Linked DNA regions of Callithrix jacchus. The main gene of each other region encodes a partner of the protein of the gene in region 2 in a complex. Links are inferred from orthologs where the notes say so. Each region holds a gene or a part of one and is shown on either strand. Other genes may lie near its edges.

Region 1 (4,129 bases), on a different chromosome or scaffold from region 2:
TCAACTAGGCGCCAGTTTATAGGACAATTTTGACTACTTTAGGCATTTATGCCCCTGTGAAAAGAGGACATACAAGACTGAAAACAGATTATCAATTCTAACTATTCACTTTTCTTCTTACATTGCTATAATTTAGCAAAAATATACCCTAATAAGGGCCATCAATCTATAATACAGCAACACACAAACCAAGAAGAGGGTTGAGAGAGGGAGGGGATTTTTTTTTTTTAAGAAGCTTATAGATTTTAACTGCAATCCATTATGTGGCAAGAATATCAAGGTTATAAATTCAACCATCTCACTCAGTAAAAGTATCAGACGTTAGGAAATTGATGTATTTACATATTAGCCAAGGCTTAAGGTCTAAAAAGGATACTTTGTAAAAATGTAATATTGCTTTTAACTCGAATCCAATTTTACTAAATACCAGGGTCCTCTTGCTGCATATTAAAATGAAAGCAACCCTGCAAAAGAATATAAAGTGGCAATATGGCATAGTGCCAAGGCATGCCAAACCTGGACAGCCTGGATCCTCAATGCACTCACTAGCTGGGGTTACTTTCTGTGAGTACTTTCCAATCTGAAAATTTGAGACTATAATATTGCCCCTATTACACAGCTAATTCAATGATTAAATGAGCTACTATATTAAAAGCACTTACAACAAGAACTAGCAAATAATTATGTCATAATATTAGTTAAAATGATGATTATGATAATCAAGTCTCAAATGTCTCTAGCTCCTAGAAATTTACTGGTTCTTTTCCAAAGATATGTATTCTTTTTCAGACCTTATAAAATAAGCATTTCATGAAAGACCTCTGCGTAGCCTAAATCTACTCTGAAAATTTGCATGTATCACAACTGCAACATTTCATATTCAGTACTTGCAACATAACTCATTTTAAGCATTCCATTTTTTATCTTTTTTGTGAAAATTTTAAGGATTTTTATATCCTTAAACATCAGCATATTTCCCTTTAGCTAAAAAACGGAGACACTGAAATATATACAAAAATAAAAAGAAACTGAAAAATGTGAAGTGCTCAAAAAAGCTGAGAGCACAATTTTATACACAGTGTTTTAAATTGCTACCATAAATTCTAGGCAAAGGCATTATTATATAAAGTGAGCATGTGCGCAGCGGGCCTTCTTCTAGAGGTAGGTAGTCACAGCAATATTGCTCCCAATACCTGACGGAATAAGGTAAGAATTTGCAACCGCAATCCCGGTACAGAAGCCCATGTTTACAAAGGCTCAAAGCTGTGCCTTCCAGAGTTCCAAGTGGTTTCCACCCACAGGTTAGATGAGTTTCTATGCATCACATCCTTCCTAAGGTGCACTCAGGGGGCCCTGGCTCAGTGCCTCGGTGCCCTCCAGGTGCCGGGCCAGACGTCCGATGCTGGCAGTGCGGGAACGTGCGTTCAGCCTTACTCTAGTTACTTCCATGGGCGGGAGTCTCTCTGACAGCAGGATGGACGTGCGCGGAGGGAGGAGCCCCGGGCAGGCGCAGCCCCGCCAGGCTGCCCCAGGACGGGTCCCCGCCAGCGCGCACACTACACCGCCTTCTCCTTTCAGCTTGCCGATTTCAAGCGTTGCGGTTTTTAAAACATCACTCCTCCTTCCAACCTTCTGTCCTCCCTTAGCCGCTGGCCTAACTTAGAACCGAAACGTTTGGATGTGTGACAAGCCACTGTCATCTCCTTCTCGCCACAATCGCCGAGTTCTTGTCGCCTCCCAGCAGTACGAAGCTTAGAAGCAGACTTCCGCTGAAAACATCCGGACGCCTGCGTACGCGCTGACCCGCACCGAGTTCACCGTGTGCATTTTCCGCCTCGTTCGCCAGCGTGTTCTGCAGTGAGCTTTCAAACACTCCGGCAAACTATGCCCGGAATGCAGGCCCCTGCGAGGCCGCGTCTCCCCGCCCCGGGCGCGTTCCGTCCCGCAGCTGGCCAGGGAACAGGCGTCTGGGGACAGTCTCGTCAAACGCGGCCGGCCGCCAACTTCAGGGAGGCCGCACCGCCCGCCCGCCCGCCCGCACTTGTTGCTCGCTTGGGGCCGGGGGCTCCTCTCCGGGCCCCGCCTCGCCGACCACCGCGGGTCTCAGGGGCAGCGCACAGCCTGCGGCCCACGCCCCCGAGACGCCGGCCGGCCGCCGGTGGGACTGGGCCGAGACCGCGGAGCCCCGGCCCCGGAGAGGGTCAGAGTTGGGGTCGGGTCGCGCAGGCCGCTTCCTCACCTTCGGGGACTGCGCTCCGGGAGTGGCCGGGTCGCTTTCGCACGGCCGCGGAGACAGTGCCGCCCCGGGCCCGGCCGCCGCCGCCGCCATCAGCCCGAGCGCCCCGCGCCGCCGCCGCCGCCGTCGCCTCCGCCTCGTCCCGGCCGCCGCCGCCGCTGCCGCCGCCACCGCGCGGGCCCCCCGCCGCCCCGGCCCCGCCCCCTCCGCCCGCCCGCCCGGGGGCCGGCCCCTGCCGCCGCGCGCCCCGCGGCCCGCCAGCGGCGCCGCCGCCACCGCCATGGCCGCCGCCAGCGCGCCGCCCGCGCGGGAGGGCGCCGGAGGCTGGGAGGGCGCGTGGATGTGGGCCGGAATGGAGGACGCCCGGCGGCGGCGGCGCTCCTCACGTCAGCCCGACCCGCCCGGCCGCCGCCCCCCACAGCTCCGCCGCTGGCCTCACTGCCGCCGCGGCTCCCTTCACCTCCGCCGCCGCCTCAGCCCCGCTGCTCCCCTCAGACCCGCAGTTGCCTCAGCCCCGCCGCCGCCCGGCTCCCCACGGCCCGGCGTCGTACTCGGCCGCGGCTCCCACCAGCCCGCGGCGCGCCCCACCTCCCGCCCGCCCTCCGGCCCGCCCCGGCCCGGCTCGTCTCCACTTGGCGCACTGGCAGCCGCCCCCTCCCCGCGGCCCCCAGCCCGGCCCGGCCCCTACGCGCGTCACCCTCTCTCCCTCCCTCTCTCCGCGCCCCGCTGCGCTTGCCTTGCCTCGCCCCGCCCCTCTTGGGGGTCCCCGCCCCGCCCCCTCCCTGCCGGGGGTCGCCGTGCCCCGGAAGCCGCCCGGGGACTGCCCGGCCTCTGCCTTTGCGCGCTCGCAGTCGCCGCCCCTCGCCCGCCTTTGTTCTCGGGCCGCCCCTCTCGCTGGCGCGCCGGAAGACAGCCGCGGAGCCACCTGTCCCGGCCGCGCTTCCCGGGGCATCCGCAGTTGCCCCGGGGGGCCGAAGGCGCCCGCCGAGGAGCGTGGGGAAGGCACGGCGGGAAAAAGTCGCCGAGATTCGGCCCGCGTGCCTGCGTTCCCGCGTGGTTGATGCCTCCGCCGAGGACGCGGGTGGCGGGGAGCCGGGGAGGGGCCTGAGGCCGGCTTGGCAGGTACCCCCGGGAGAACGCGGAGCCGGTGTATGATCTCGGCTGCGTCTGGGCTCCCCTGGGACCTCACGTGAGGAGCCGAGCTTGGCCAGTCCGCAGCTGCCATCACGGCCTCCCTCACCTGCGCCTGCAGATGCTTGTTCTGGAAGGTGGAGGATGCGCTCAGATTCAAAGTACAATCCCGCTTCCTTTCCATTCATTGTTGTTGCCTACGCCCCAGCAACAGAACTTCGGGAAGACAAAGGGATGATTTCTAGGATGTCGCATTGACAACCACCGTCACCACGCCCAGCCCAGCCTGGCTCCTTGCTCCGGTCCGAGAGGTCCCCACCGACGGTGCCAGGCCTTCGAGCCCTGCTGACCCAGCTTCGTTCTCGCAGCTGAGGCCAGACGGGCCCTGTTCCTCAGTCCTGCCCCGTGCAGGCGTCAGCCTCCACTGCACTCCTTGTCCGAATCTGCCAAGAGGCAACTGCGTCTTTCAGCTAAATTGTCTTCATTCATCAGGACCCTCGCTCAGACTCCCCGGATAGAGTTCAGCGTTTAAAAAAAAAAAAAAAAAACCTCTGCGGCTATCTGCATTGTGAAAGCTGTTACAAAATGGAGTCAAGGAAAGCCACGAAGGGAAGGTTCTCACTAATAATAGCCTGATATCAAGAATTAACACAAAAAACTGCCAAAACCACAACCTTGCACAAAGGCCACAAAACTACACAAAAAGTGCTTTAAGGACATGTGCACAGCTACTGCTGCCCAATCTTGGACCGGCATCCCCTT
Region 2 (3,511 bases):
CCAGCCTGGCCAACATGGTGAAATGCTGTCTCTACTAAAAATACAAAAATTAGCCAGGTGTGGTGGTGCACTCCTGTAATCCCAGCTACTTGGGAGGCTGAGGTAAGAGTATCGCTTGAGCCCGGGAGGCAGAAATTGCAGCAAGTTAAGCTCGTGCCACTGCATTCCAGCCTAGGCGACAGAGCGAGATTTATTTTTTCTGTCTCAGAAAAAGTAGGGTTTAAATAGGCAGATGATTTGTACACCATTTTTCGGCAGTATACTAAAAAACTGGATTTAACACTTGTTGTGAACTATCCACCAAGCAAGATTAACTTTTGTAATTACCTAAGAACTGTGATTCTACAAAAATGAATTACCTTGCAGCCTGATAGGGCTTGTGGCTTATGGACAGGAAAACCAGGCAGGAGATATACCCCGACTCTTGTGGTTTGGTTATACAGGTCAACAAGAACAAAAAATGGCGGGAACTTGCAACAAACCTCAATGTGGGCACATCAAGCAGTGCTGCCAGCTCCTTGAAAAAGCAGTATATCCAGTGTCTCTATGCCTTTGAGTGCAAGATTGAACGGGGAGAAGATCCTCCCCCAGACATCTTTGCAGCTGCCGATTCCAAGAAGTCCCAGCCCAAGATCCAGCCTCCCTCTCCTGGTAAGGATGGGGTCAGCAGCCCCACTAAGGCTGAGAGGGCCTACTGCACCTGCCTCCAGCAGGATATGCCAAGGATCTGTGCTCTTGCCCTACCACAGGTCTTAACAGGTTGGCTGAATAGAGAGTGGGCAGTGGAAACTTCCCTGGGAGGTACTCTTCAGCAGCCCTTAAATTTTAATTTTTGTTGTGCACCTGGCAACTTGCCAAATGTTTGTAAACTGGTGAATGGGAGGGGCACAAGAAGAGTGGGGAAACTGACAAATGGCAGCAAAGCAGGGCCATCTGGAAGCTTTGGCCCATTGATGTCAGCACCTTAGAATGCAGCTCACACTAGAGCCCTGAATTCCCCAGGGAGCTGAGATAGTAATGAATGAGGAGGGAGTGGGGAAGGGATATGAATGGAACTCTCTGATGGGAGTGCCTCTGCCTACCCTCCATTCTGAGAGGAGGCTGAGACCTAGGGCGAGCCTGGGGAGGAAAGAAGGCCAGGGTGCCTGGAAGGTGGGTGTAAACACATGTGCCCTGGTGTTGACCTCTGAGGGTGTAATGAGTGCCTGAGATGACTCATCAGCTGGGGAGGCCTCAGCAGTGGGATATCTACTGCTGGGAATGGTAACTATTGGAAACATTAAATTACTAGTAGTTTTGTGCTTATCAGCTTAGAAGAACATTTGAACTTGAGGGATGACACTATGCTGGATGCTTTAGAACAGGAGCTCTCCTAGGCTCCTAAAATGCATCCCAGATTTGGATTCCACCCTACCCAGGATTTGGGAGGTTCTGACTGGAGCTCCTGCACCAGCATTACAGGATTTAATAGGTTAGACAAGGTCCTTGGAGAAGTGAAGAGAAATAGCCAGGGAAGCTGGCAGTGACTCAAGGAATCACCAGCATAGTGATGTCATGGCCGCATCACTTCTCTTCTCTACATGTAAAACAAAAAGAGCTACAAAACCCTCAAATTTCCTTCTTTATGACCTGGATATTGCAGATCTTCTGATAAGAATGGTGATCACGCTTGAAAGGCCTTAGGAAGAACTTTCTCAAAGAGATTCTGGGTCATTCATGTGTTTTTGTGAGAGTTAAACACTTCCATACCAAGCAAACTGCTCAACTTGCTTCTCTGTCCACAGCGGGATCAGGATCTATGCAGGGGCCCCAGACTCCTCAGTCAACCAGCAGTTCCATGGCAGAAGGAGGAGACTTAAAGCCACCAACTCCAGCATCCACACCACACAGTCAGATCCCTCCCTTGCCAGGCATGAGGTAAGGCCAAGAGCAGAGGTGGATGGTTGAGGGGATGGTTGGAGATAAGTGCATGGGAACTCCTTTGCAGCCCAAGGGTGGTCCCTGCCTCTGCCTTCTCAGCCAGTGACTCCTGCGTGTCCTGTGTTATATTGGAGGAATTGGTCTATCTGGGGTTTAATTGATTTTCCTCACTCTGGAGCAGGAGCAATTCGGTTGGGATCCAGGATGCCTTTAATGATGGAAGTGACTCCACATTCCAGAAGCGGAATTCCATGACTCCAAACCCTGGGTATCAGCCCAGTATGAATACCTCTGACATGATGGGGCGCATGTCCTATGAGCCAAATAAGGATCCTTATGGCAGCATGAGGAAAGGTGACTGATCTGATTGCTATTGAACTTGTACTCTTAAAGACAGGGCCAGTGAAATGGGGGAAAATCTTGAGTGATTCAGGGTTCTTGTGGAGCCAATCTCTGAGATAATGCATTTCCTGTCCTAACTACCCCTCTTCATCCCTACCTCCTTTGTCTCTTCCCTGGCCTCACCTTGACATCCCTTAACAAGTACATGCTTTTTGCTGGTTGGGGCATCTTTAGAACTCTGTTTTGAACTTGTCTGGAAAACAGTGAGATCAAACCTGAACTCTGAAAAGGGCCTGGGTCTTTGGAGCAGGCAAAGTGTAGATTACTAGGCTTGCCAACTTGCCAGTTTGTTCACTGCCTGCCTTTATACACTCAGCTCCAGGGAGTGATCCCTTCATGTCCTCAGGGCAGGGCCCCAACGGCGGGATGGGTGACCCCTACAGCCGTGCTGCCGGCCCTGGTCTTGGAAATGTGGCAATGGGACCACGACAGCACTATCCCTATGGAGGTCCTTATGACAGAGTGAGGTAAGCATGGCACCAGCTCCTATCCATCCCCCAGCACCCAGAGCTATAGTGGGCTCAATCCACCTCTCCAATTTTCTTTAGGACGGAGCCTGGAATAGGGCCTGAGGGAAACATGGGCACTGGGGCCCCACAACCGAATCTCATGCCTTCTAACCCAGACTCGGGGATGTATTCTCCTAGCCGCTACCCCCCACAGCAGCAGCAGCAGCAGCAACGGTGAGTAAAGCCTGCTCCCAGTGCTGCTGTGACTCAGACTTTGCCACTGCCCACCCTGATCATGTGTTTCTTTGCCTCCTGTAGACATGATTCCTATGGCAATCAGTTTTCCACCCAAGGCACCCCTTCTGGCAGCCCCTTCCCCAGCCAACAGACCACAATGTATCCACAGCAGCAGCAGGTGAGGAGGGTAGCTGGGAATGGACTAGCATGTAGATTCCCTTTGAAAGATAGTTACTAATGTGTTAAAGTCTAAGAAGCTCACTTTAAGTATTTTGGCATTCTTCTCTCACCTGACTGGCCATTTGGGCCCAAAGAGCCAAGTCCTCGATCTCTTCTGTTTGGAGCTGGAAAGGGCTAGAAATAGATCTTATTTTGATTTTTAGGTTTTATATATTTTTCTACTTAGAGCAAGGGAGGGGAAGAAAGAGTGGTGGTTGCTTTTGGAAACAACTTAAAAAGACAGTTTGTTAAGGTGATTCCTTTGTTTCCTTGGAGTCTGTGTC
Region 3 (4,260 bases), on a different chromosome or scaffold from region 2:
ACCCACTTCCTGTGCCATCTCTGGTCTCAAAGCTCCCTCACCCCCAAACAAGTAGATGGGCACATGCTCAACACACACAAGCATTCAGATGTGCATATGTACACACATGCACACACACGCCAACACATACAGACACACACACCCTCACAGAAGGTGTGTGTGTCAGCTACCCCAAGGTGTCAGAGCTGCTTCTTCGTCTTTGCTACCAAAACTGTGGTGCCAGGAGCCCAGAAGAACCTGGGGTCCAAGCAGTAGAAAATCTTTTGCTAGTCTGGCACTGTGGCTGACACCTGTAATCGCAATGACTCAGGAAGCCAAGGCGAGAGGCTCACTTGAGGCCAGGAGTTCGAGACCAAATTGGACAACATAGTGAGGGTCCGTGTCTTAAAAAAAAAAAAAAAAAAAGGCTGGGCACGGTGGCTCACTCCTGTAATCCCAGCACTTTGGGAGGCCAAGGTCGGCGAATCACGAGGTCAGGAGATCAAGACCATCCTGGCTAACACGGTGAAACCCCGTGTCTACTAAAAATACAAAAAATTAGCACGCGCCTGTAGTCCCAGCTACTTAGGAGGCCGAGACAGGAGAATCACGTGAACACCCAGGAGGCAGAGGTTGCAGTGAGCTGAGATCGCGCCACTGCACTCCAGCCTGGGCGACACAGCAGGAGTCCGTGTCAAAAAAAAAAAGGAAAAAACAGGGAGAGATGGAGACACACTCCTTCTGGTCTCTCTCTCAATCTTCCCTTCCCTCCCTCTCTCAGTGATTCCATTTAGGCCCGGGATTGGCAAAACCGGGCTCACAGCAGCCTGAAGATAGATGACCCTTCTGGGTACTGGAGTTCTCTCCGCAACCCTGCTTTAAAAGGTAAGGGAATAGAGAAGGGACGAGATGGCTCATGCCTATAATTCCAGCACTTTGAGAGGCTGAGGTAGGAGGATTGCTTGAGGCCAGGAGTTAGAGATCAACCTGGGCAACACAGCAAGACCCCATCTCTACAATATATATATATATATATATATATTTTTTTTTTTTTTTTAATTAGCCAGGTGTGCTGGCACCTGCCTGTAATCCCAGCTACTTGGGAGGCTGAAGAAGATCGTTTGAGCTCAGGAGTACGAGACCAGCCTGGGCGAAATAACAAGACCCCATCTCTACCAAAAGAATTAAAATAATAAAACTAAAAAGCAAGGGGGTAAGGACCTCATCAGTCGTCCTACAGAGTCTTGGTCTCCTCCTCTTTCCTGCTCTCTCCTCTCTGCCACGCGTTCCTTAGGAACGGTTAAGTCCCTGCTGGGAGCCCCCTGCCCCATCTCCTCCCGGCCGCCTAACCGGGGACGTCTTTCCCTTTAAAGCAGCGGCCCCCGTCCGGGTCATTGTCTCGCCTGGCAGCCAATCGGCGGCGCCGTTGGGGGCGGGGGATCCGGCTTCCCGATTGGCCGCCTCGCGCCCCGCCCCGCCCGGGATCCCGGGAGCTGTCCGGCCGCCTCGGTGCTGATCCCGCCGCCGCCCACGGGCCGCGAGCCGCGCAGAGGGCACTATGAGCGGCGGCGTCTACGGCGGAGGTGAGCGAGCCTTGGGCCCCGGGCTCCCGCAGCCTTGCGTTCCGAACCCGCGTCATCGATCCGAGCTCTGGGCACCCCGGGGCCTGTCACCTCCGTGCACGAATGGGTCCGGTCCCAGGCTTGGGTCTCCCGCCACTCCTACGCTCGGTCCTCCCTGCACGCCTCGCGCGCACCGGGCCCAACCTCTCTACCTTGCAACCCACCTCCAACTGGTCCCCGGCCCCTTCCTTTCCCGTCTGGAGGGCGACCTGAGCAAGTCCACTGGGCAAGCAGGGACCTGGCGGTGTGATGCCCCTGCCCCCAGTCCCAGGACCTCGGACTCCAGTCCCACCTGCCCCAGACTGGTGATGAAAGTAGTGAGACTGTGGCTCTGCCCTGACTTCCTCTCGGAGCTACCTAGCGGGAGAGAGTTCGGGGGAAGTCCCCTTACAGGCCTGTTTCCCCGCACAGATGAGGTGGGGGCGCTGGTCTTTGACATTGGCTCCTTCTCAGTCCGAGCTGGGTACGCTGGGGAGGACTGCCCCAAGGTGAGCCTTTCAGTCTCCTCCCCAAATTCTAGGGGCTCTGAACCCTTCTTCGGGCTTTCCAGTGACCCAGGGCTCTCCCAGATCGCCCAGAAGCTCTGCTGAGCGGGAATGCGGGAATAAACCCAGGGGCGGGCTGAGGACCCCGCTGTGGGGCTGGACAGGGGCAAGAAGGTGACCCCTCTCCCTGCCGATCCTCCCCCAACCCTTCCCCACCAGGCTGACTTCCCCACCACGGTGGGGCTGCTGGCCGCGGAGGAGGGGGGCGGGCTGGAGCTGGAGGGGGACAAAGAGAAGAAAGGGAAGATCTTTCACATCGACACCAATGCCCTGCACGTGCCTCGGGATGGAGCAGAGGTCATGTCGCCCCTGAAGAATGGCATGAGTAAGGGGCCCTCACCCATCACCTCCTGACACAGACAGGGAGCTCACTCTCCATGATCTGGGACATAGCAGCCCCAACTCCCCAAGGATTCTTCCTTGCAGTCCCAGGGTTCTTCTCACTGCCTCCCTGAGCTGCCTGGTTCCCATCCCAGGGGCCCATCAGGTTTCTGGGAAGGAGGGTGTTCCCCTGGAGCTGGACTCACTGACCCTCCTTTGGACTTGGCCTTCCTCCCTCCTTTTCCTCCTGTCCCTGACCCTTGCCTGCCCTCTTGCGTCTCTGTGCTGCTCTTCTGGCCCCAGTTGAGGATTGGGAGTGCTTCCGAGCCATCCTGGATCACACCTACAGCAAACATGTCAAGTCTGAGCCAAACCTGCACCCAGTGCTCATGTCCGAGGCTCCGGTGAGTGCCTACTCCATACCTCCACGTCCGGCCCTGATCTCCACCGAACCTCATTCCCACCATCCACCTCTCCTCTCCCCTCAAGCCACCACTCTCAGCCACTTGACCTCCCTTTTCCATCTTCACCACTTTCTTTCCTTCCTAGCTGTCTCCAGCCCTCCTGCTCTTTTCCTGCTCTATCTTACTCTGCTGCCCTTCTCCGTCTCCAAGTCCTTTTTAAATTTTTAATCTTTTGAGACAGAGTCTCACTCTGTTGCCCAGGCTGGAGTGCAATCACGAGATCTCAGCCTGTGTCTCCTGGGTTCAAGGAATTATCTTGCCTAAACCTGCCAAGTGGCTGGGATTACTGGCACCCGCCACCATGCCTAATTTTTGTATTTTTACAAAAAATTCGCCAGGTGTGATGGCGGGCGCCGGTAGACATTTTTTAAATGTTCTTACCTGCCTCCTTATATTTCCCCCTGTATAAAAGCAACTGTTTTTCTCCCTTTTGAGCTAATTTTTGGAGTATTTTCTTTCATATCTCTAATATCACACTTAAATTGCAGCCTGTGGAGTTTTTTGTTTTAGGTATTATCTATGAATTTTCCACTTTAGAAAATGGTCGCTTAGCTCTCTTTTCCTCCCCAGCCTATACCACACAGATTTCTCATCACCCACCTTTAAGTACAGTGGCTTCTGTTGTTGTGGTTGTTTGGGGTTGTGTTGTTTGTTTTTGAGACAGGCTCTTACTTTGTCACACAGGCTGGAGTGCAGCAGCACGATTCTGCAGCCTTTACCTCCTCAGCTCAAGTGACCCTCTCATTTCAGCCTCCGGAGAAGCTGGAACTACAGACATGAGCCACCACGCCCAGCTGATTTTTACATTTTTTGTAGAGGCAGGGTTTCACCATGTTGTCCAGGCTGGTCTGGAATTTCTGGGTCTTGAATTCAAGCAACCTGCCTGCCTCAGCCTCCCAAATTGCTGAGATTACAGGTGAGATCCACCGCATCCAGACCAGTTGTATTTTAGACTTTAAAAGAAATCAGGGCCAGGCGCGGTGGCTCAAGCCTGTAATCCCAGCACTTCGGGAGGCCGAGGCGGGTGGATCACGAGGTCAAGAGATCAAGACCATCCTGGTTAACATGGTGAAACCCCATCTCTTCTAAAAATACAAAAAAAAAAAATTAGCTGGGCATGGTGGCACATGCCTGTAATCCCAGCTACTCAGGAGGCTGAGGCAGGAGAATTGCCTGAACCCAGGAGGCAGAGGTTGCGGTGAGCCAAGATTGCACCATTGCACTCCAGCCTGGGTAACAAGAGCAAAACTCCATCTCAAAATAAAATAAAATAAAAATAAATAAAAGAAATCAGTATTCAGTATTTAGACTCTTTTTAAATTAGAGATA
Region 4 (3,511 bases), on a different chromosome or scaffold from region 2:
GTACGTCCCGGCGCAGGTCTCTCCAGGTGTCCTAGGGTGGGCCTGGGCTGCACTGAGAACAGAACTAGGTGTCTGCACTAAGGGCTAGAGAGTCAGGCCGGTCCAGGGCAGGGCAGGGCAGGGCAGGGCAGGCCTAGAAACATTCGGGTGCAGAGGATTTCATCTAAGCCCGCTGCCCTGTTTGCTGCCAACTTGGCCTTCTTCTGCCCCCAGTCCCTTTTCTGCACCCACGGTCCCTGTTTCTCTCCCACAGCCCAGCAAACAGAAGCGGAAGTTCTCTTCTTTCTTCAAGAGTTTGGTCATTGAGCTGGACAAAGATCTTTATGGCCCTGATAACCACCTCGTTGAGGTGAGACCAAGATCCCCTCTGCCCTTGAACTGCCACCCTCCCACAGGCCAGAATCCCTGAAGAACCAGCCCAGATTTGGATCACGGACCACCCTAGAGTCCTGGGCCCCACCGCTCCAGATGGGCCTTTGGGTGACCCAGCTCTTCTCTCCTGGACAGTGGCATCGGACACCCACAACCCAGGAGACGGACGGCTTCCAGGTGAAACGGCCTGGGGACCTGAGTGTGCGCTGCACGCTGCTCCTCATGCTGGACTACCAGGTCTGCATCTGCCATGCTGCCCCGCACATGTCACATGAGGCCCTTAGGGCAGGCCTAGGTCCCAACATGGTCCATCTTGAGAGACCTCCTTCCCCTCCCAACCCTGTCTTTCCCTCAGTCAACGCATCCCCCTAGTCCTGAATGGCCTGGCCCTGGGCTCCTTCCATTCTCTCCCTTTGATCTAACTTTCACAGTCCCCTTTTCCCAGCCTCCCCAGTTCAAACTGGATCCCCGTCTAGCACGGCTGCTGGGGTTGCACACACAGAGCCGCTCAGCCATCGTCCAGGCCCTGTGGCAGTATGTGAAGACCAACAGGCTGCAGGACTCCCATGACAAGGAATACATCAATGGGGACAAGTATTTCCAGCAGGTAACCTCCCTCCTGAACCCAGGGGCCTGGGGATCAGGCAGAGTTCTCCAGCAGGGGAAGTACCTCTACCAAGGTAACTACCACCCTCCCTTCTAGTTTCCTGAGTAGCAGAAGCAGTACAGAGTTATGGTCTTGGAGCCAAGAGACCGACCAGGATTCTAGTTCAGGTCCTACTGTGGATTAGCTCTGTGCTGCAGCCAATCCATTTTAGCCCCCGCCCCCGCCCCCCCAAGTTAGGAAGACCTGGAACCCTACAAAGCCAACTGCTTTCTGGAATGTAATATTCTTGGCACCTGGAGTTTGGATTCCCAGGTTCTAGTCCTGAGTCTGGACTCTGGGTAAGTGACTTGTTTCCTTATCTTTGAAGTGGAGTGATAATACCTGCCCCGTCTACTCTCCTGGGCAGTTAGGGAAGATCAAATTGCTGCAAAAGGGACTTAGCGAAATTCCACCAAAAGAGAGTATTCTTATTAATGCATTTTAAAATAAATACGGCAGATAAACCTGAGGAGTAAAAATAGCAGCTGATATTTATTGGGCACTTACCATGTGCCAGGCATTGTTCCAAGCACTTTATGTGCATTAGCACCGACTTCTCACGACAGCCCTGAGATAGATATTATTTTCACCCCCACTCTAGAGATGAAGACAGAGGCCTGAGGTGTCAGCTTGCTCATGGCTGCATAGTGATGGGAGAGGCAGGACCGATACATAGACTGGCCCAGGGCCTGCACTCTCAACCTGCCCCACACTGACCCACCCCAGGCCCTGTCAGCCGTGCTGGTGGCTCCACCACCAGACCAGCCCACCCCAATCCCATCCCCCTGTGCACTGAGGAATCAGACTCACTCTCAGCTTCTTGAGGCCTTTCTACAACCAAAGGATCTACAACTTCGTGATGATCTCTTCCAAGAGTGATCTCTCCCTGCAACTGTCTTGCTAGATTTTTGATTGTCCCCGGCTGAAGTTTTCTGAGATTCCCCAGCGCCTCACAGCCCTGCTACTGCCCCCTGACCCAATTGTCATCAACCATGTCATCAGGTGAGGTGGCCCCAGCTTGCTTCTCAGACCAGGGAATGATCTCATTCCTGCCTTCCCTGCCCCTCCCTCTCCTCCCACTCCCGTATTTTCTCCCTCCCTGTTGGAGCTGCCCCCACCCCGGGGCCCTAGGGCCTCTATAGGGGCATCATGAACACTGAGGGCTGCACTTCCCTGGCAGTGTGGACCCTTCAGACCAGAAGAAGACGGCATGCTATGACATTGATGTGGAGGTGGAGGAGCCATTAAAGGGGCAGATGAGCAGCTTCCTCCTGTCCACAGCCAACCAGCAGGAGATCAGTGCTCTGGACAGTAAGGTGGGGCCCAAGCCCAGAGCTGGAATGGGACATTAACCCAGAGATGATAAAGCAGACTTTTCTGAGACCAGGGTGTGGTTGCAGATGAGCAGTCTGGGTTAAATAAAAAAAAGGAAAAGAAAAAGAAGCGACCAGAGTGTGGGCCAGTGGGGTACACATGGCCCTTCCATGCTACTTGGAGTTGAACCTTATTCCAAATTTAGTTCTGCCCATCCCCTCCTCCCCTGGGACTTCAGAGGAATCAGGGGCTCTGAGGTGTTGTCTTTCACCAAAGAAAACCCCTCTCCCTCCCCTTCCCACCCACCTCCTTTTCCCCTCCCTCTCCCACATCACCACAGCCAGGTGGAAAGCATCTATCTTTCTACCTGCAGATCCATGAGACGATTGAGTCCATAAATCAGCTCAAGATCCAGAGGGACTTCATGCTAAGCTTCTCCAGAGACCCCAAAGGCTATGTCCAAGATCTGCTCCGCTCCCAGAGCCGGGACCTCAAGGTGAGAGGGAGACTCAGGGAGTACTGGAGTAGAAGACAAGCACATCAGGAGAGACAGTAAATGTACTCCAGGGCAGGTGAGGGGATCTGGAGCTCAGGGCTGACCCCATGCCCCCTCCCAGGTGATGACAGATGTAGCTGGCAACCCTGAAGAGGAGCGCCGGGCTGAGTTCTACCACCAGCCCTGGTCCCAGGAGGCCGTCAGTCGCTACTTCTACTGCAAGGTATGGAGGGTCCCTTGCCCTGAGGCTTCCCCCTCCTCAACTCCAAGAGAAACCTCCCTGTTCAGCTTGTGGGCAGCCCTCTTAGCTCCCCACAGTAAAGCTTCACCACAATGCCTGACCATGCAGCAGACCCCTGCTCCCAGATGCTCTTCCAGGGTGGGCAGTGTCAGGTGGTGGGGTGGTCCTGATCACTCACCAGGAACACTGACACCTGCTCCTGCTCTCACTTCCTCTAAAGATCCAGCAGCGCAGGCAGGAGCTGGAGCAGTCGCTGGTTGTGCGCAACACCTAGGAGCCCGGGAACAAGCAGCACGAAGGACCTTCTGGCCGCACTCAGAGCTCCAGCGCTCCACCCCAGGCTCTGGCATCACTCCTCTGCCGCTTTGGGGTGCGGGGCTGGATTAAAAGTTATTCATCTGACAGCAGCCATGTGGTCATTGGAAACTGGGGAGGCAAGGGG
Region 5 (4,075 bases), on a different chromosome or scaffold from region 2:
TTTACATGTTAGGAAGGGGGTTAAAAAAGTCGCCATCAGGCCGGGCGCGGTGGCTCGCACCTGTAATCACAGCACTTTGGGAGGCTGAGACGGGCGGATCACCTAAGGTCAGTTCAAAAACAGCCTAGCCAAATGGTGAGACCCCGTCTCTAGTAAAAATACAAAAATTAGCCAGGTTTGGTGGCACATTCCTGTGGTCCCAGCTATTCGGGAGGCTGAGGCAGGAGAATTGCTTGAACCCGGGAGGCAGAGGTTGCAGTGAGCTGAGATCACGCCACTGCACTCCAGCCTGGGCAACAGAGCAAGACTCCGTCTTAATTAAAAAAAAAAAAAAAAAAAAGGCCATCGTCACGAACAGGATTCGAACCTGTGCGGGGAAACCCCATTGGATTTCGAGTCCAACGCCTTAACCACTCGGCCACCGTGACTTCCAAAACCGCGCTTTATCGCGCGCTTACAGAAGGGGTCCGCACTGCAACCGGGAAAGGCATACAAGAACTGAAAGCGGGGGCCCGGCCGCGAAACACACACCATAGAACTCCCCACCCCTAGCTCCTTACCTCCTATCTATGCCACTCAAAGAAAAAGAGTCGGATGAACCGGGTGGCCCAGGGAGGGAGGGCCTCCTGCCTAGCGAAGAGCGAGGTCTCAAGGAGCTCACAGCTACTTAGGAGGCGATGGCGAGGCCTGCGGAGGAAGCAGCCGAGGGAAGGGACTGGGGCCCCAGCGTGGCGGCTAGGGAATTTTTGGGTTAACAAGTGAGGGGGGTGCTGGGTGGGACCAGGCGCGAGAGGTGAGGGAGACTCAGAAGAGTTTAAATAGGCAGCTCCTGGGAATGGATGGAAGGAAGGAACTTCTTGGGGAAAGGGGTTTGGGTTTTGGAGGACTAGGGGCTCCGCGGGGTTAGGAATGCGCAAGGTGAGAGCCACTCTGGGGACCGGCGGCCGCCCGGGGTGGGATGGCGAGGTGATACTGCCGAGCTGAAGCAAAAAGAGGAAAAGGGCTTCGCGTCTGCTAAGAGCTATCTCTGGAGAATGGCGCCCCCTCCAGGAAGCGTCCTCCTCCCCGGAGGCTCCCGCCGCCGCTGCCGGGGAGGCCGCCAGGGTCGTCCCGCACCAGGAACTCCGCCGCCGCGCCCGGCCTGCCGGCAGGGGGCGCAGCGCGGACCGGGGCCGGCCCAGGCGGCGGGAGGCGGCGGCCGCGGCGGCGGGAGGCGGCGGGAGGCGGGCGGAGGAGGAGGCAGAGGAGGCGGGAGCTGAGCTGAGTGGGGCGGGCGGCGGCGGGGCCCGAGCCCGAGAAGATGGCGGTGCGGAAGAAGGACGGCGGCCCCAACGTGAAGTATTATGAGGCCGCGGACACCGTGACCCAGTTCGACAACGTGCGGCTGTGGCTCGGCAAGAACTATAAGAAGGTACGCGGGCCGGGCCGGGCCGCTTGGCGACCGGGGGCGGGACAAAGGGACAGCGGCCCTGCAGCCCCAGGATCCTGCCCACCCTCCAGCCGCCCCGGCCCCTCCCCCGCGGCCTCGGGAGCAGCCCCCCGCGCGCCCTCCCGCGCGCCCGCGCCCCTCCCCCAGCCTCCCTCTCCCCGCACCCCCAGCCTCCGAGCCCAGCCCCCGCCCTCACTGCTGCGCCCTCTGCCCCTTGTTTTTCTCCACTGCCCGGCGGGCCCCGATGCCATTAGCCCACCTTCCCCCTCAGCCATCGCCCTCCTGGCTTTTCTGGGAGAGGCGGCCGGCCGGGAGTGGACCGGGTGCCCAGTGAGCTCCCCCGCAAACCCGAGCATGCCCGCCAGAGCTCCCCACGGAGCCAGGTACCAGCGGGGCTGAGGCCTCCCCAGTGCTTTGTATATGTTCAGAGAGAGAGAGGATGGAAAGCAGGAGGGTAAACAGTCACACAGCAAGCCGCTGGCTGCTCATCAGCCTGAAAAAGGTCCCCACCCTGGGATCACCTGTCTCCGCCGCTCATCCCCCACCTTCATCTAAGGGGAAACAGAATCTCTCAGGGAGCCGGGGTATAGGAGTTCCTGGGTAGCGGCCCCTTCTGAAACCTTTCCTCGATTTTACAATGAAGTCACCCTGCAACCTAGCTTTGCAATACCCTGGGTTTGGGGTCCAGAGGTTAGGGTGAGCTTTCTGTCTCTAGCTCCTCACCCCCTAACCCCAGAACTGGAGATCATAAGGTAGTGAACAAAGGGTTCAGGAATCCTTACCTGTCTTTTCTACTAAACCTCTTCCTGGTGTCGTCTTTGTCTCTAGGCCTGGTTTTCTCTGGAAATGGTCTGCCTCTCTTCTTTCTCACTACTCCCAGAGAGGGGTTCTCTTTGTGGCTTTCTTTCAGCTCCCTGGTTCTTCCTGCCGGCTTTGCAACTAGTCAGAAGTGTGCTTAGTGGCTTAGGAGAACTTCCTGCTGATCCTGGTTATGAGACTAGTCCTGCCCTTGGGGTCTCTCTGGGTGTCAGAATCCTGACAAATAGCTGCTGTTTCTATGGCTGGTCTCTGCCCCTTTGTGAGGCTCTTGTTCCCAGGCCTTTTGACCTTTTGCAGGGAGATTAGGCTAGGGGCTTAGCCTGTAGCCTTGGGGTGATTGACAACTGTGACCTGGTTCAGCTTCCATGCTCTTAGCTCTTTGTCATTTACCTTTCCCTTCACAGATATCTTTTCACCTCTCACTGAGAGGTGCTGTCTTCTTTGTGATGAGGGTGGAGAAAACAGGTCAAAAGGTAAAAAGAAAGTCTCCTGGCTCAGGTTCAAATTAGAATGGAAGGCTAGGATGCTGCTAGGTAGCATAATGTGGAAACAGTGAAGCAGGACCAGGGTTACTTGTCTCAGATACAGTTTCCTCCGACAGGGTAGATGTCTTGCTCTTCTCCATCAGGCTAAGTAGCCCATGGCCCTTCCTGTCTAAGAGGGCATATGAAGACGTTTATACCCATTCTTCAGAAGCAAAATGCACAAGCTCACTCTCTCAGTCAGCTTGCCCTCCTTGACTTCCTTGACCTTTTCTTGTTAGGCTACATTATAGGGGGAATCATGGCTTTACACAGAGTTCCCCTAAGAAATACACTTTTGTCTCTCGTAGAGCCCCAGAGGTATTGCTTCCATGACCTCATCTCTGTAAACCTCCAGAATTTTACAGCCCTCAGTGCTGTGGGCTGAAGATGAGGTGCCAAAGTACTAGGGTCCTGCAGCTCCAATTTCAGAGTGTAGCTGAGGATGAGTAGTAAGCTTCCCTCTTCCCCCACACTGGCAACCTGGGCTGCTGGCAGCAGTGTTTCAGCTTCCTGGTTGGGGTGTCCAGGGTCTCCCTTCTGCCATTTTCTTTATAGAGACTAAATGGAGTAAAAGACACTATTTTCTCTGCTCCAAATGCTTCCAGAGTGCCTGGGGGAGAAATATGGGAGATAGTGGACAATTCATCTGGGGTCTATTTTTCTTTTCTTTCCCTCTTTATCCCTAGTATATACAAGCTGAACCACCCACCAACAAGTCCCTGTCTAGCCTTGTTGTACAGTTGCTACAATTTCAGGAAGAAGTTTTTGGCAAACATGTCAGCAATGCACCGCTCACTAAACTGCCGGTGAGTGCTGAAGTTGGGGGGAGGGTGGGGGGGGGCTGGTGGTGAATCCTTCAAACTGGAGAGTTGTATTTTTTAAAATATTTGTGAATTTTGTAATTTTTGAAATTTGGATTATTTTCTACCATTCCTATCCCTGGTCAGGGCATTATTGGCTTGGCCTAGTCCCCAATTTACCATTCCTTTTGTCTTAGTAATACTTTGTGCAGAGTGCCTGAGATTAGTCCCCGAGTCTCTCATGGTATGGTGAAAGGGGGTCTTGAGATTTGGATTTGCGCGGGCTTGTGTTTACATCCTGGCTTTGCCACTTCATGGCTCTGTGACCTTGGGCAACATTCATCAGTCTTGGTTCCTTCATCTCTAGATGGGATTAGTAAATCTACCTTGTAGGGTTTCTATAGTGGTAGCTGAGGTAATTCAGTAAAGTGTTAGCATATATTGGTTTCTTTCACTCCCCTCTTCCAGGCCACATGATGCAATGGCACAGGGGTTAAAGAATT

Evidence for each region.
Region 1: ARID1A (region 2) and PHF10 share a complex: the UniProt entries of both Homo sapiens proteins name them as parts of the neural progenitors-specific chromatin remodeling complex. The link is inferred for Callithrix jacchus from reciprocal best matches to the Homo sapiens genes ARID1A and PHF10.
Region 3: ARID1A (region 2) and ACTL6B share a complex: the UniProt entries of both Homo sapiens proteins name them as parts of the neuron-specific chromatin remodeling complex. The link is inferred for Callithrix jacchus from reciprocal best matches to the Homo sapiens genes ARID1A and ACTL6B.
Region 4: ARID1A (region 2) and SMARCD3 share a complex: the UniProt entries of both Homo sapiens proteins name them as parts of the neuron-specific chromatin remodeling complex. The link is inferred for Callithrix jacchus from reciprocal best matches to the Homo sapiens genes ARID1A and SMARCD3.
Region 5: ARID1A (region 2) and SMARCC2 share a complex: the UniProt entries of both Homo sapiens proteins name them as parts of the neuron-specific chromatin remodeling complex. The link is inferred for Callithrix jacchus from reciprocal best matches to the Homo sapiens genes ARID1A and SMARCC2.

Annotation. Positions count from the first base shown.
Region 1 is NC_133505.1:176,378,849-176,382,977, forward strand, and holds the start of PHF10 (PHD finger protein 10), read right to left. Parts: upstream 2,803-4,129; 5' UTR 2,519-2,802; coding exon 2,240-2,518; intron 1,761-2,239; exon of another isoform or gene 1,194-1,760; intron 1-1,193. UniProt on the Homo sapiens protein: Involved in transcription activity regulation by chromatin remodeling. Belongs to the neural progenitors-specific chromatin remodeling complex (npBAF complex) and is required for the proliferation of neural progenitors.
Region 2 is NC_133508.1:63,425,956-63,429,466, forward strand, and holds part of ARID1A (AT-rich interactive domain-containing protein 1A), read left to right. Parts: intron 1-443; coding exon 444-651; intron 652-1,784; coding exon 1,785-1,917; intron 1,918-2,098; coding exon 2,099-2,274; intron 2,275-2,638; coding exon 2,639-2,789; intron 2,790-2,870; coding exon 2,871-3,005; intron 3,006-3,089; coding exon 3,090-3,186; intron 3,187-3,511. UniProt on the Homo sapiens protein: Involved in transcriptional activation and repression of select genes by chromatin remodeling (alteration of DNA-nucleosome topology).
Region 3 is NC_133503.1:13,071,627-13,075,886, forward strand, and holds the start of ACTL6B (actin-like protein 6B), read left to right. Parts: upstream 1-1,455; 5' UTR 1,456-1,537; coding exon 1,538-1,562; intron 1,563-2,012; coding exon 2,013-2,089; intron 2,090-2,305; coding exon 2,306-2,471; intron 2,472-2,770; coding exon 2,771-2,871; intron 2,872-4,260. UniProt on the Homo sapiens protein: Involved in transcriptional activation and repression of select genes by chromatin remodeling (alteration of DNA-nucleosome topology).
Region 4 is NC_133512.1:96,971,943-96,975,453, forward strand, and holds the end of SMARCD3 (SWI/SNF-related matrix-associated actin-dependent regulator of chromatin subfamily D member 3), read left to right. Parts: intron 1-253; coding exon 254-349; intron 350-507; coding exon 508-609; intron 610-817; coding exon 818-979; intron 980-1,922; coding exon 1,923-2,020; intron 2,021-2,198; coding exon 2,199-2,334; intron 2,335-2,705; coding exon 2,706-2,828; intron 2,829-2,949; coding exon 2,950-3,051; intron 3,052-3,289; coding exon 3,290-3,343; 3' UTR 3,344-3,473; downstream 3,474-3,511. UniProt on the Homo sapiens protein: Involved in transcriptional activation and repression of select genes by chromatin remodeling (alteration of DNA-nucleosome topology).
Region 5 is NC_133510.1:63,474,080-63,478,154, forward strand, and holds the start of SMARCC2 (SWI/SNF complex subunit SMARCC2), read left to right. Parts: upstream 1-1,275; 5' UTR 1,276-1,300; coding exon 1,301-1,411; intron 1,412-3,458; coding exon 3,459-3,578; intron 3,579-4,075. UniProt on the Homo sapiens protein: Involved in transcriptional activation and repression of select genes by chromatin remodeling (alteration of DNA-nucleosome topology).